2 linked regions of the Astyanax mexicanus genome follow. The protein of the gene in region 1 interacts with the protein of each later gene in a pairwise test. Links are inferred from orthologs where the notes say so. Each region holds a gene or a part of one and is shown on either strand. Other genes may lie near its edges.

Region 1 (7,120 bases):
AAAAAAATATGTTTTCTTTGTATATGTTATTTTCTCAAAGTTACAATGAGATACTTGTGTTGCAAAGCTTTGTAAGATATTTGACCAACTGTTCAGCAGAATTTAGTGCAGCAAATAGTGAATAAAATGCTTTTACAAATTTGATACAGCTTGTTTTTTTATGTTTGAGAAAAAATCTTAAGTTATGGATTGGATATAAATTATAGATGTTCATTTTGATTAAGTAATGAAATTAATGAACATTTTTAAGTCCCACAAATGTGAATGTGACATGAGATGGTTCAATTCCTATATATATATATATATATATATATATGAGTGCTTTCACATTCTCAGAAAAATGTCAATATATATCAATAAAAAACATAATTGATTTTTTTTTAATATATTGTTTTTAAATTATGGCTAAGCAATACTGTAAAAAATCCTTAATTTTTTTCCTTTACAAATGTAACCAAACATAACCTCTTAGTATTTCAGTGAAAAAAAAGCATGACTTCTTCTTCTTCAGGTTTCTCAAAGAAGCAAATGTCTATCTGCTGAGATTCCAATAGGCATATTTTTTTATGTAAAGATGTATAATCTCCATTATCCCATTTTAAAATGAAGCTTCAAAATGTTTTAAGGTACCATTATATAAGGCTTTAATTTTACATTTCTAATATTTTTTCATATTAATATTTTTATTCATTAAATTTTAATTTGTGTATGCATTTTGTAAGTCATTTGGGATAATGTTTAAAACTGGACTGGTTAATATTAATATTAGTTTTATTGTACAATAATATTATTATTTCCTGGTTTGCAGTGCATTAGTCAGCGATGCCGTGGCCAGTAGCGCCACCTGCTGGACAGTATGGGTAGCTTCAGAGAGCCACAGAGAAGCGATAGATAGATCTTCACCTGAGTTTATTCCATGTGTCTTCTCCAAATTTATCGATCACCAGCGACTTCAAACATGTGTTAATAAAGCCGTACTGTGGATATATATAAAGAGGGTTCAGGACAACACACAATAATATACTTCAAATCTGCTTTAAAACAGCACTGTCCCTGAAATTAACTTAAAATTCACAAAATGTCTATTTGAACTATATTTAAATGGGTTGGAGCTACTAAAACACGATTAATATAATGCTACGCACTACCAAGACAAAACCAAAGCCAAAATATTTAAATAAATGCTTTATAGACACACATATCTGGGCTAAAGTAAGCCAATTGTACAACAATATTCAGGGTAAATACAAAAAAAAAATATCTTACCATTTCTTTGCCTTAGGCCTCTACCGATAAACTGTTCATTTTTCCTTTGTAGATATTCCGTCCGTAATTAAATATAAAGCCAAAAGTGTTATATCCAGTTTCAGAGGAGAAATGACTGCAGTAAAAACGCAATTCCTTCTTCACACAACGAACACAAGTCCTTCCCTTTAAAGTTAAAGTTTAAATCTGCTAAAATATATATATGTATCATTCCTGAAGGCGTTGAGTTTGGTGTGCTGCAGTGGACAGTGGGACAGCTAGGCTGCTCTCTGCTGCTCCTTTATCTACATGTCGTGAGGAGAGTCTCTCATCTCCATTAACAAAGAAATAATTTCCCTACATGTCGCTCTAAAGCTCAGTTCCACAGAACTGATTACCATTAAACATTTAGACTGCCCATGATCACATTAAACCTATACTACTTTTTATATACTAACCTTTTTCAAGCCAATTTTCAGTTCACCTACTAAATGTGCTATTTCACAAAGTTACGTTTTTCCCATAGCAGGCTAAATGTTGCTGTCTGTTTACAAATTTAAAAAACTAAAACTATGTAATAACTAAAAATCGTACTCATAACCAGCATTGCTCAACGTACAGAATAAAAAAAAATCGGAATTAGTTTTTTCTGATTTTTCTATTTATATATATACATATATATGTTTGAATAAAATTATCATTGTTGTCTTATTCTATAAACTATGAACAACATTTCTCCCAAATTACAAATAAATAATTATATAATAAATAATCATTTAGAGCATTTATGTTCTAAATATAAATATAAAAAAATGGCTAAAATAACAAAAATGATGCAGCGAGATAATGCAAAGAAAATAAGTTCATATTCGTGACGTTGTAAGAGTTCAGAAATCAATACTTGGTGGAATAACCCAGGTTTTTATTCACAGTTTTTCTTTTTCTTTATCTTGGCATGTTCTCCTCCACCAGTCTTGCACACTGCAATTGGATAACTTTATGTTACACCTGGTGCAAATATTGAAGCAGTTCAGCTTGGTTTGATGGCTTGTGATCATCCATCTTCCTCTTAATTATATTCCAAAGGTTTTCAGTTAGGTAAAATCAAAGACATTCATCATGTTAGAAGGTCTCTCTTTTTTTTATTTGAATTAAGTTAAAAAATATTCGAATATTTTTTCTTAACTAGTGTGCAACACATTTAAAAAAAATATTCAATTTTCTTTTAGAATAAGTAGTTCTTTTAGACTAAAGTAGTTCAAATTAGTTGAAATTGCAAAAAATATAAACATCTTGCTAAATTATCATATTTGATACGTAGTGAAGTTTTTAAAAATCTGCAGCATCTATTTGATATTAATTTTATTATTCTTAGATCATATTTAAATACAATAATAACCATTAGGAAATTACAATAACATATAATGTAATAATTAAAATAATTCAGTACATAAATAATAAAACATAATTTGACTTTTGTTGCCCCCTGGTGGATTATCCTTGCACCGCATCCAAGAGAAAAATACATAAAGATTTCTGGATTTGAATTTATTTGAGTTAAATGTAGATTAAACCTTTTTTGGTTTATTCTACATGCTTTAGTTTGATTAATTTGTTATTGCATTAAGCAATACATTCCACGTCTACCAAACCTGAGACAAACTCATAAACACACAAAAAAGGTCCAGGGTTAACAATATAATGCAAAGGAATGGCTTAAACACTGCTTAGATGTTAATTATTAGAGAGTTCAAAGTGCAAGGTGCATATAGTAAGTTAATAGAAAAATTGTTTAGATCAGCAAGAGTCTGTACTGTGTGTTTTTATGGGGGCACTGCTGGTGTGACCAGTTTAACAGCTCTCAAGTAACATTACACTTGAGTCTGTGGGTTCTGTTTGTGTGATCTTGGGCAAAACAGTTCATTGTCTCTAGTGCAGCCAGTCACATATTTCCCTGAAGTTATTATGGCCAATGCCAAGAATCAGTCTGAAAGGTATAACCCTTACACTCCAACATTGGATTGTGGGGGTCTCTGTGCTGATATGTATATGGATTCTCCATATCTTTAAGATGAACTGGAGCGCAGAACTGATCATACTAATAATCCAACATTACCGAACTGCAATGCCATATATGGTTGGTCCCATATAGGCCCCATCATTACAGTGCACCTTAGCTTCACAAGTGTACAACTTGGATGGGGCTCATCACTAAAACATAATAGGCCACTTAAAATATATGAGTTTTTTTATTTATTTTACCTAATTGAAAACCTCTGAAATATAATCAAGTGGAAGATGGATGATCATAAGCCAACAAACAAAGCTGAACTGCTGAAAGTTATTAAAAAGCTGTGTGAAAGACTGGTGGAGGAGAACATGCCAAGATGCATGAAAACTGAGGTTATTTCAGAATAAAACAGCAATGTTCATTTTACTCAAGCATATACCTATAAATTGCAAAATCAGAGAAACTGATTAAGAAACTGAAGTGGTCTATTTATTTTTTTTCCAGAGCTGTATGTGGGGCCAATATGAAACCAATTTAAAAAGAAAACTTTTTTTTATTATTTGCTGTTTATTTTACAGACATTTTGAGAAGAAAACTCATAGTAAACTTAATAGTAATGTTTTTTTTTGTTTGTTTGTTTGTTTGTTTTATTGAATGAATGTGTCAGTGCATGAATATATGAAAATATAGGAGACCATCTCATATCTATTCGCATGTGTTGCAGTAGTGAGAGAGGTTCACATACACACAGTGTGTGTGTGTGTGTGTGTGTGTGTGTGTGTGTGTGTGTGTGTGTGTGTGTGTGTGTGTGTGTGTGTGTGTGTGTGTGTGTGTGTGTACCGTCCGCCATCATTGGAGAGCAGCACAGCACAGCAGAGCCGAGCAGTCAGGCGCTTGTCAACAAGTCCCAAACTACTGGGATCTCCAGCTATTAAAGAAGGTCAAGTGGAGGCTGATCATCGGCTCCACGGACTTATCTCCCTTCCCTTTACCAGGACAAGTCTTTCATGTGAGCGAGGAGACCACCGGGGAGGCAGCCAAACATGTCAAATCTCAGCAAAGGCGGCACCAAAAAGGACACCAAGATGAGGATACGAGCCTTTCCTGTGAGTACAGGCCGGCGTCTGGAACGCCGCAGCCGGCGAGGCCTTCACTCGAGCTCCGGGGATGCGGGCTTCAGGCTCAGGCTTGAAGGCCCGAGTGCTCTTAAGCAGGGGTGCATAAATGTTGTCACCCATCCAAGAGTGAGCCGAATTACAGAATTAGAAATGCTGCAGCAGTAGCACCAACACCAACACCAGAGTGTCCATTAACTAGAGACAAGTCACCTCATTATAGCTGCATGTTTCCTGCTGACAGATTTTAGCTACACCAACCTTAACGCTAGGTTATATCATTTAGGTAGAGCTAGCTAACGTATGTAAACGCTAGCTATGTGACCCTTACTTGTTTTATGCCGATTATTTTTTGGAAATGCTCCGAATGTGAACGACATTCATGAGCTTAGCTAAGTTATTCGAGCTGTTCGTCTTCTCTTTTCACGAAGGTCACGAATAAAAACGTCCTAATCGACTTGTGTGTGAGAATAAACCGTGTTCAGACCGTCTTTCAGTCCCTCACTGATTCAGTTAACTAGGTCCCTGAAATGCGATATAAACCTGTGTATGAGGCTAACGTAGTTAGCTAGCTAGCTATTTAGCTAACCTAGCTAAATAGCTAGCTTGGCTCACTTGCGCAGTTCGGAGACTTCTAGCCCCGTTAGCTTAGCTGGCTAACTGACAGATAGCGCTAGATAATGTATTTTCACTGTTACACGAATTCGAATTATGCTCTTACGTGACTTTCGTACGTTTTTAAATCCCACACAACTGGACAACTCGAGCAGAAATGTTGTGTGACGCATTGAACGTAGCTAAATTAGCCAGCCAGTTAGCTTTTAGTTAGTTAACGCTAACGTAAAACATGTTATTAGCCCTTAGCTAGCTTAGTTAGCTATCGGCTCTTACCAGGACTTTAGCTAGTTGGTCAGTATGTCTTAGCTGTAACTAACTAGCCAGCTAGCTATCTTAGTTATGCAGAAGATTAAAACATAAAACATGCTATGACTGTACGAGCTATGTTGTTTTAATTATATAAGCTAGCTATTTCATTTAGTATGTGTTAATTACGTTAAAGTTAGCAAGCTACGCTAGCTAAGGAGTCCGTGTTTCCTGAGTGCCACTTAATAATAAAAAAAAAAAAGGTTCAGAATGTAAAAATCCATCCCATGATTTTGTTCCAACTGCATAGACTCTTGAGCTGCAGCAGAGCCGTCCGGGCAGTTAAAACAAAATCCTGGGGTGGATGTTTACTTTGTGGGGCCTGGATTAGCCACCTGACATGGCTTTTTTGAAAGGGTTCTGTTTTGTTTTCTTCTCTTAATTGACATCAATAACATTAGCAGGACGTGAGCAATACTTTAATATTGCATGATAATCGAGTGTTATGTATTATTAATATTTTTAAAAGGTCTGAAACCTTTTCAAGGTCCTGGACAAACAAAAAAACAATATTGAAAACAATAAACAGCCTTGCAATGCAACCCTATTATAACTTGGGAGCATAATATTGTGTATATAATGTATAGTAAACTATGTGTATTATCTCATTATGTTAGCTAGCAAGGTATGTCTAATAGTATTGCAAAAATCTAAAAACAATGTGTATTTTAGCCATAGAAACCTAGGTTACAGAGCCCAACAGATGGAAAAATACAATTTTGTGACTTCATAAATATTTTGCAACCTCAGTTAAAAGAAGAAACATTTAATTAGGTAAATTTAGGGAACAAATGGCTTAATCAGGAGGATGATGTCCTTGATGTATGCCTGTATTTTACAGTACAGTATTCAAATTCCTTCAGACTAAAGAATAAAGTGTAGAAACCAAACTGCGTGAACAGTATACATTAACACACATTTTCTTCTCCCAACCTGTGAAACGGACAGATTTCACAATACCCCACCTGAAGGAATTCGGCCTACTTTTTCTTGTGAAACTATTACGCTATGTGTGAATTCCTCTGAACCACGCCACTGTGTTTGTACCTGTTCCAATCATTTGGCTTAGATACAGTTTTATCTTGAGCTTTGCTGTTTAAACAGTCTGAAATAATGTGACCTTACAGATGGATAAGGGCAGAAAGATAAATGAAAGTGGTGTGGACTTGGTCGAGTCATGTTTACTTAGATCTTATGGCTCAGTATAGCGTTTAGAGTGACTGCATGGCATTCTGTTACTGCGGACAATGTAAACGCTTGAGATGCTTTGATAAAAAATGGACTAGGTACTACTTTGTACGGGGCACGATTCATCCTAAATACTAAAATTATTTTCAGAATGTGTCAGATATTCAAGTTTTGAAGGAGCTGAAATCATTATAGTACTGTGAAACCGGACAAAAACATATTGATGCAACCAAAACAAAACAATGTGAAGCTCCGAATAAATAACATGTCTGTGTGATGTGTATAAAACACAGTAAAAAAAAGAGCAGCTTTTAAAACCATTAAGTGACACAGTAAATGACAAATAACATAATACACATCACAGTACACTGTATTAATCACAGTGTCTTGACATAGTGATATGTGCAATTTTCATTTTTTTTTTTTTTTTTGCAATTTTACACAGTATCAGATATTTTGATTGCAGCCCATTTCAATCTGGATATTGTGTCTTTTTAAATAATATAATTTACATCAATTACAATTAGCCCTAAAATTGAACTCAGTGATTCTATTGCTTTAGGATCAATAACTCAATCATTAACTCTGCATATAAGGGGTTTATGTGAAAGATATGAAGAACACTCAGCATTTGGGG
Region 2 (7,517 bases), on another chromosome or scaffold:
TGATAGAGCAACACAAATTATCTGATAAAAACTGTCATTTTTCCCAGCATGCAATCACACTGGACCTTTTAGGACCCTGCTGATCATGTGACACTACAGGGCTCGAGCTCTCTGAGCTTCTGATTGCCCACACCTAGTTCTTTTAGTGTATAAACCCTTTGTTTTTTTTAGTAGCTCCTCGCTGGGTATTGAATTACCTTTATCTTTTGGATTTCCTGTGTATGACCCTTTGCTACTGTATTAACTGTGTTAGCAATACTATCCAGTACTTGGACATGTAAATGGACTTTTTAATCACACTATAGATTGTTAAGGGGGGCCTAACCTGTTTTGGTTGTCCTCCACCAGCTGGTGGGTGCTGTGGAGTTCAGCGTCCAGCCGATCCTTGTCTCTGTTAAGGGTGTCCAGCTGGGCCTGCAGGGTGCTGATATAATTCTTCATCATGGGCTCCAACCTGGAGTCCTTGCGCGTCTCACCATTCAGCAACTTCCACTTTGTCTCCAATAACTTATTCTGCTGCTCCAGGTGGCGCACCTGAGAGAAAGAGAGATATGATAAAAGATGAGAGATGTTAACAGATAGTGTGAAGCTCCTGGTTGACCTTTTTTTTCTCTGATGTGATGATTAGAGACACCTTGGTGAGGATGCTTTTGTTATTAATCATTAAAAGTTAAAATAATGTCAGTTACAGGTCATTTATAACATAAATAAGCTGAAAACGAGCTGTTTAAATAAAATTTTAATTTCCCTCCATCCATGACCAGCAATAACTAAATAAAATACATTAAAGCAACCATCTATAGTTAAAATGAGAAGACATTGCAATATCGTCTGTTAGTTACTTACTTAAATCAGCCATAACATTAAAACCACCATATTGTGTAGATCCCTCTCATCCACTAAGTTGGATTTTACAAGACCTTTAAATGTGTCCTGTAGTATCAAGACAAGACATTAGTAGCACATCCTAAAAGTCCTATATCAATATTTACTAGAGCCACCATTCGCTGCAATTATAACAGTAAGTGCTTTGGGGTTTGTCTCTACCAGTTTTGCGCATCTAGAGACTAGAGATTTTTGCCCATTCTTCTTTATAAAACAGCTCAAGCTTAGCCAGGTTTGATGGAGAACGTCTTGAAAATTGATTACTGATTACTGATCTGTTCAGCAGAAAAAAGTCTACAACCCATACTAAACAGTATATAGTACTAAAATACTGGCTGAAACTCTGCTGACATAAGCTGTTGGTGCTTAAACTCAGCATGTTTCCTTAATTTCTGATGATACATCCTGATCTACATTCTGATCATGTTATGAATCACTATAAAAATATAATCCTTAATAGTCTTTTAAGTATACAGGGTAAAACACACTTGGCTAGCTCTCTCACCTTGTCGATGTAGGAGGCGAACTGGTTGTTGAGTGTTTTGATCTGCTCCTTCTCCTGCAGTCTGACCGCATGCAGGTCAGGGTCCAGGTCCAGCTGCATGGGGGTCAGCAGGTTCCTGTCCACAGTTACGGCCCTAACAGGCAGGCTCTGCGCTGGAGCATCCCCAAAGCCAAAATATGAGGTTCCAGTGCGGGGAATGGTCGCTCCAGCCCGGGGATACGAGCCCAGAGAACTGCTGCTGAAGCTCCGCACACTGGACCTGCTGCTGCTGACCCGACTACTCATGACTGCAGAGCTGAGGAAGACTGTTGAGGACTGTAGAGTATGGTGGAGTGTGATAATTGGAGGTGTGTGGAGTCCTGGACTGACAACATATATATACTTAGCCGGGGTGTGTGTGTGTGTGTGTTTTTGTGTGTGTGTGTGTGTTTGGAGGTATGCACATTCTTCAGATGGAAAAACAAGTTTAACAACTGATAGCAGAGCTCAGCTCACACACATACTGTACATTCATGTATTCATCAGGGATGCATGCTTACACACATGAACACACACACACCCACACCCACACACTGTGTGTCTGGGAACTCTTCCAGTCCTGATGTAATCTCAGTAGTAGAGACTGCTGATGTCAGAGTTCTGTACCAGTGTTGTGAGCTGGCATGTTTTGGTTCACAGGTATCTGATGATCTACTGATGCTGCCGTCTGCTATTCGAAGAACCTGCCTAATATACTTAGAGTACTCATATTAAATATTTAGCTTCCTGTCTGTTTTCTCTAATAGATTTCCAGGATTTCCAATAAAGTTTGAACTGATAACCGCAACCCCAACACTCCCACCCTCAGCTCAAATTTAAAAAAGGCAAAAAAAAAGGGGAGGAATAGTTTGGGAGGGTCCCTCCTGCCTCGCCTCTAAACCCATACATCACCCTCGTCTCTAAACCCATACATCACCCAGTGGGCGAGGCGAGGCAGCTCTCAGGAGGGAGAGCTGATTGGCTCTGTGTTTGGTTGGGCATCAACAGGGGGGGCAGTACTATTGATTGATTAAATAATCTGCCTATTGTGATGTGTGCGCGTACCAAAGTATACGGACACATCATTCTCGCCTATAATAGCACAGTTGAACCTGAGGGGGCGCTGCAGAGGCAGAAATGATCACAATAAAAGTTTTATAGTTTTTATAGTTTAGGTTAGGAAAAGTTAGGAAATAAAAATTTGTAAGCAGGACTGGAATGAACACATTGAACAAATGAACACATTTTGTCCATTAACCAAAAACATATTGTTTAAAGTTTAATGGTTCTTTAAAGCTGCTGTCAGTTTCGAGAAATCTGTCAGGTCAGATGTTTCTGCTAATTTGCTGTCCAGACCTGTCCAACCACCTCTGAGCCACCTGCACGCTCTGATCTTCTCCTGTTGTGCCAAAAACTTCACCTACAATACCAGTCAAAAGTTTGGACACACCTCTTCTCATTCAATGTGTTTTGTATTTTTTTCTTTGTGATTTTAATATTGAAGACTATATTAAAGCTAGTATTGAAGTATTGTTTTAAACCAGAATATGTCTTATACATTTAGCCTTGGTGACAGATTTACACACTCTTTTTAATATATTTTAATCTCAGTGTCTTTTTGAGATAGAATCACCTGGAATGGTTTTCTTGAAGGAGTTCCTGGAGGTGCTGAACAATAGTTGCTAGCTCTTTTTTAGAGGGGCACAAGCACCCCTAAACCAGGTCCCAGTCCCACCACCTCTAAACATGACGGTACAAAGTTATTGGTTTTTAGCTCTGAAATTAGATCATGAAACATATTTTAAGAAAGAAATACAGCAATCTTCCCCTCGCCCTGCGAATATATTTTTATTTTTCTGTATTAAGTCTATTATCTCTTTATTATAACACAATATCACGCAGTATTGACAATAAAACTACTTGACATGATTTGATCAAGAGGCCCAGTGCGCTTCATGCTGTATTAGGATATGATTGATGATTGTACGCTCCCTGCTGGTCACTTAAGAGAACTGCAAGTGTCTTTTACTACAAGTCAGAAAAGGGGTTAGTTTTATTCAGACAGTCTTAATAATATTTTACTCAAACAGTATGAGAAAAACAAAAAAACTGTGCTAATTGGGCTTCAAAACAAAAAAAAATCCTCTTTTTAAACTTAATCACCTTTATTTTTTACTTATTTTTATTTTTTTTAATTTTTTACTTTTTATTTCTTGCGTCCACCCTGTAATAAATAACATCAATATGCTACTTCTCTGCTAATTTAGAAATTGTGTCACTAGGAATTTAGCTAACTTTTTTGCTAGTTTAAAGATTTTGTCACTAGATTTAGCAACTATTTGTTGGTAGATTGAGTGAGAAGCATTTAAAGTATTATTTTGAAAAAGTGAATAAAAATTATATTAACTGATGTGTATATGTTACGTGTATAAACACGTAAGTTTGTCATACTTTTGCAATCCTGCCTAATTATTGAATTAATATAGGTTTAATTTTTTTTATTAATATAAAAAGGTTTTCGGGAGTTAAGGGGAGGTTTGGGTTTTTTAATATATATTTTAATATATTTTATATAAAATTCGTCACTAGATTTAGCATCTTTTATGCAAATTTAGAGGTTTTGTTGCTAGATTTTGTAGCGATATTTATGCTAATTTAGAGAGAAGCGTTGAAAGTATTACTTTTTAAAAAGTAAATAAAAAATAAATCGCCTTAATTCAACTAACGTGTACTGCCTAATGAATCTATAAATATAAGTTTAAAATCTCATTATTCTCATTATTAAATCTCATTATTTTTTGCGGCTTCTAACGGAATAGACTGGTAAGCGACTTTATGTAACACTTAAGGGAGTACTTAGTAAAGTTCAATTTTTAAAAGAAGATTTAAAGGGTTATTTCCTAGAACAATTTTAAGGAATATTAGGGGAAAAATCAATTAACTTTTTTTTATATTAACTTACTGGGCGCAGACCTGCAGTACCACCTTCCTCCGGAGGGGGCGGCAGAGGGTCTCAGCCTGTGGGGAAACTCTATGGTGGCGGAGGACTGTTGTTTACGTCTGAGAGAAATTTCGTCAAAACAGCGGAGCGCAGTGACAGCGAGCAGCAGGGCCTCCAGAGCCGCGACCCAGCCGAGTTTTCTTCACTAACCCGCCGCCCAGCGCCTGCTCTCCGCCCCGTCCTCCAGGCAGGCCGGTTCAATGCCTTTCAGAGCCGCTTTATCGCCGCTATGGACGCAAACGATCTGTTTTCGAGCTGCAGGAAGGGCGACGTTGCGAGAGTGAGGTCTGTACTCCGGGCTAAACTTCTGCAGCCGCTATTTAAACTAAATATATAGATATATATCAGTATTTTTATCATCCCTGACTCTGGTATTGTAGTTGTTATTTTAGTGAGGGCATTATATAAACTGGTAACAGTGTTAATACATGTTCAGGAGGTTAGTTCAGGGAGTTAATTATGGTGCAGAGTAGCACATACTGTACACTCCGTTAGTAAACAAACTTAACCCTTTAAAAGTAAGTAACGTTAGGTAGCTAAAGTTTCTTTTTTTTTTTAATCAAATAAAAAACCTTTGGAATATAATCAAGAGGAAGATGGATGATCACAAGGCATCAAACCAAGATTAACTGCTTGAATTTGTGCAACATGAGTAAAGCAGCATAAAGTTATCCAAAAGCAGTGTGTAAGACTGATGGAGGAGAACATGATCCCAAGATGCATGAAAAAAAAACTGTGATTATAAACCACCAGGGTTATTCCACCAAATATTGATTTCTGATATCCTAAAACTTTATGAATATAAACTTGTTGTCTTTGCATTATTTAAGGTCTGAAAGCTCTGCATCTTTTTTTTTTAGACATTTCTTATTTTCTGCAAATAAATGCTCTAACTGACAATATTTTTCTTTGAAATTTTGGAAAAAAGTTGTCCATAGTTTATAGAATAAAATCAGAGAAGCTAATTCAGGAACTGAAGTGGTCTCGTTATGTTTCCAGAGTTGTTATTGATTTTTGAAACTTGCATAAACGTGCATCATAAGTGTGATAATACATTACTACTAATTCTTAACTTTTTTTTTTTTTTGAAAACAAACAGCACAATTTAAAGTGATGCGCAAGCTGTTTTTCCTTTACATTTAATAAAAAAATAGTAAGCAGCCCCCTTTAACCTTACATGCAGTTTTTATATTAAACGCAGTGCAAACATAACCTTTATGTACTTCAGTTAAGGAAAAGTTTAAAGTATGAAAATCACTGTCACATAAAAGAGTGTTTTACAAGTTTCTGACAGATGCATATGTGAAGCATATGAAGCATTGGATGTGTTCAATTCCATCAGCAGCTAATCTAATTTAACATCATTATACACTGATTTATCAAACCAGGGGTTTTATATTATGAGAACTATAAACAATACTAGACTCAGATGCAGACTGTGATACTGTTAGCAATACGATACTGGCAATTTTTTAAATAAATAATTATTTAAACTGTTATGTAGGAAAAACATCAATATTATGTGTGTAAAATCTGCATATCCTATCAAAAGAATGGGATACTGTATACCACTGCTTTCTAATGGTTGGGATTGAAACACAAAAAGATCAATAATTTTTTCGTTCAGATTGTTAAATATTGCAAAACATTATATTATATATAACACACTTTTTCTGAAACCCCTATGGTAAACATTGTTAAAGTTATGATGATGATTATTAAATTTTCACCATTGTTTTAATTGGATATTAGGGTAAATAGTACAGTGCAGTAAAATGTGGTGAACATGATCCCTTTAAAACATTATTATGTCATTTAATTTTTTGTTTATGTTATTAATATTAATTCCTAATATAAATATAAAAAAATATATCTCATTTACGTTGTATAAACGTTGTATCTCCATTTTTGTGGTTATATATTTATAGTTAAATATTGTATCAAAATTTCATGATGAATGGACCAATAGAAATATTTAAAAATGACTTGGAATATAATTTGTGACTTAACTTGTGCTTTGACTTTCATTGAAAGTGAATTAGGATTTTTTATCTACTGTGAAATTTGCGTTGTTTTTTTTTTCATAACAGTGATGTATTTCTTGTAATATATATATATATATATATATATATATATATATATAATTATATTATATAATATATATATTTATTTATTGCCTAATTAATGTTCTCTCTCGTTCTTTTTCTCTCTCTTTCTTGCTCAGATACCTGGTTGAACAGAGAGATGTGGAATTGAACGTGAGAGATAAATGGGACAGTACACCTCTGTGAGTCAGAATTGATTCCTCTGTATTAAATGTATTTTGATTTCCGTGTAGCTGCTGTGGACTCAGCTGAATGTGCCTTGTGTCTTGGTGTGAATGAAGGTACTATGCGTGCCTCTGCGGACACGAGGAGTTGGTGCAGTATCTACTGGCCAACGGTAAATATCCATTACACTGTAATTGTGCTGTTTTTATATTTGTAGTTTGTAGTTAGACTGTTGTAGAGTTACAAAGTATAAAATGTGTGTTTTTGGTGATTCATGTAAATAAATGTTTTTAGTTCTATTTGTTTACTAATTTTAATTTTGAAATGTTTATCATTAATAGTGGCTATTAATGTATTCTCTTTTGTAATTATACATTCAAAAATCTAAAGTGTGTTATTACTGAAAAACACTGTCTATTTCATCAGTTGCTGGAATTTTATAGTAGAGAATTGAAGTATATTCATGTGCCAAAAGTCCTGGGACAGCAACCTGTATTATTATTCACTAGCAGATGAGATGGCTCACCAAACCGTCACTGACCATCAGTAAAATCAGTAAAAAATCTGGAGGAAGAGTGGAGAGACAAACAGTTCAAGCTGCTTGAGGTCTAGTGTGAAGTTTCCACCAATCAGTGATGGTTTGGATAAAGAGACATGTCTGTCATCTGCTGGTGTTGATCCACTGTGTTTTATTATCAAGTCTAAAGTCAGTGCAGTTTTGTTTTCCCACAAAATCTTACAACAGCACTTCATATCTTACAGCTTCCCTCTGCTACTGACAACTTTTATAGAGATGTGGATTTCATTTTCCAGCAGGACTTGGCACACTGCCCACACT

Evidence for each region.
Region 2: the proteins of cul3b (region 1) and abtb1 interact in binary tests that used the Homo sapiens proteins (3 or more experiments, as listed by UniProt). The two-hybrid records come from large-scale screens. The link is inferred for Astyanax mexicanus from reciprocal best matches to the Homo sapiens genes CUL3 and ABTB1.

The regions. Positions count from the first base shown.
Region 1 is NC_064411.1:43,398,079-43,405,198, forward strand, and holds the start of cul3b (cullin-3b), read left to right. Parts: upstream 1-4,086; 5' UTR 4,087-4,299; coding exon 4,300-4,362; intron 4,363-7,120. Other genes in the region: guanylate cyclase soluble subunit beta-2-like, read right to left, coding at 904-977, 1,267-1,269. UniProt on the Homo sapiens protein: Core component of multiple cullin-RING-based BCR (BTB-CUL3-RBX1) E3 ubiquitin-protein ligase complexes which mediate the ubiquitination and subsequent proteasomal degradation of target proteins.
Region 2 is NC_064419.1:3,833,955-3,841,471, forward strand, and holds the start of abtb1 (ankyrin repeat and BTB/POZ domain-containing protein 1), read left to right. Parts: upstream 1-4,426; 5' UTR 4,427-4,638; coding exon 4,639-4,694; intron 4,695-6,633; coding exon 6,634-6,696; intron 6,697-6,795; coding exon 6,796-6,851; intron 6,852-7,517. Other genes in the region: si:dkey-222n6.2 (keratin, type II cytoskeletal cochleal), read right to left, coding at 326-534, 1,391-1,675. UniProt on the Homo sapiens protein: May act as a mediator of the PTEN growth-suppressive signaling pathway. May play a role in developmental processes.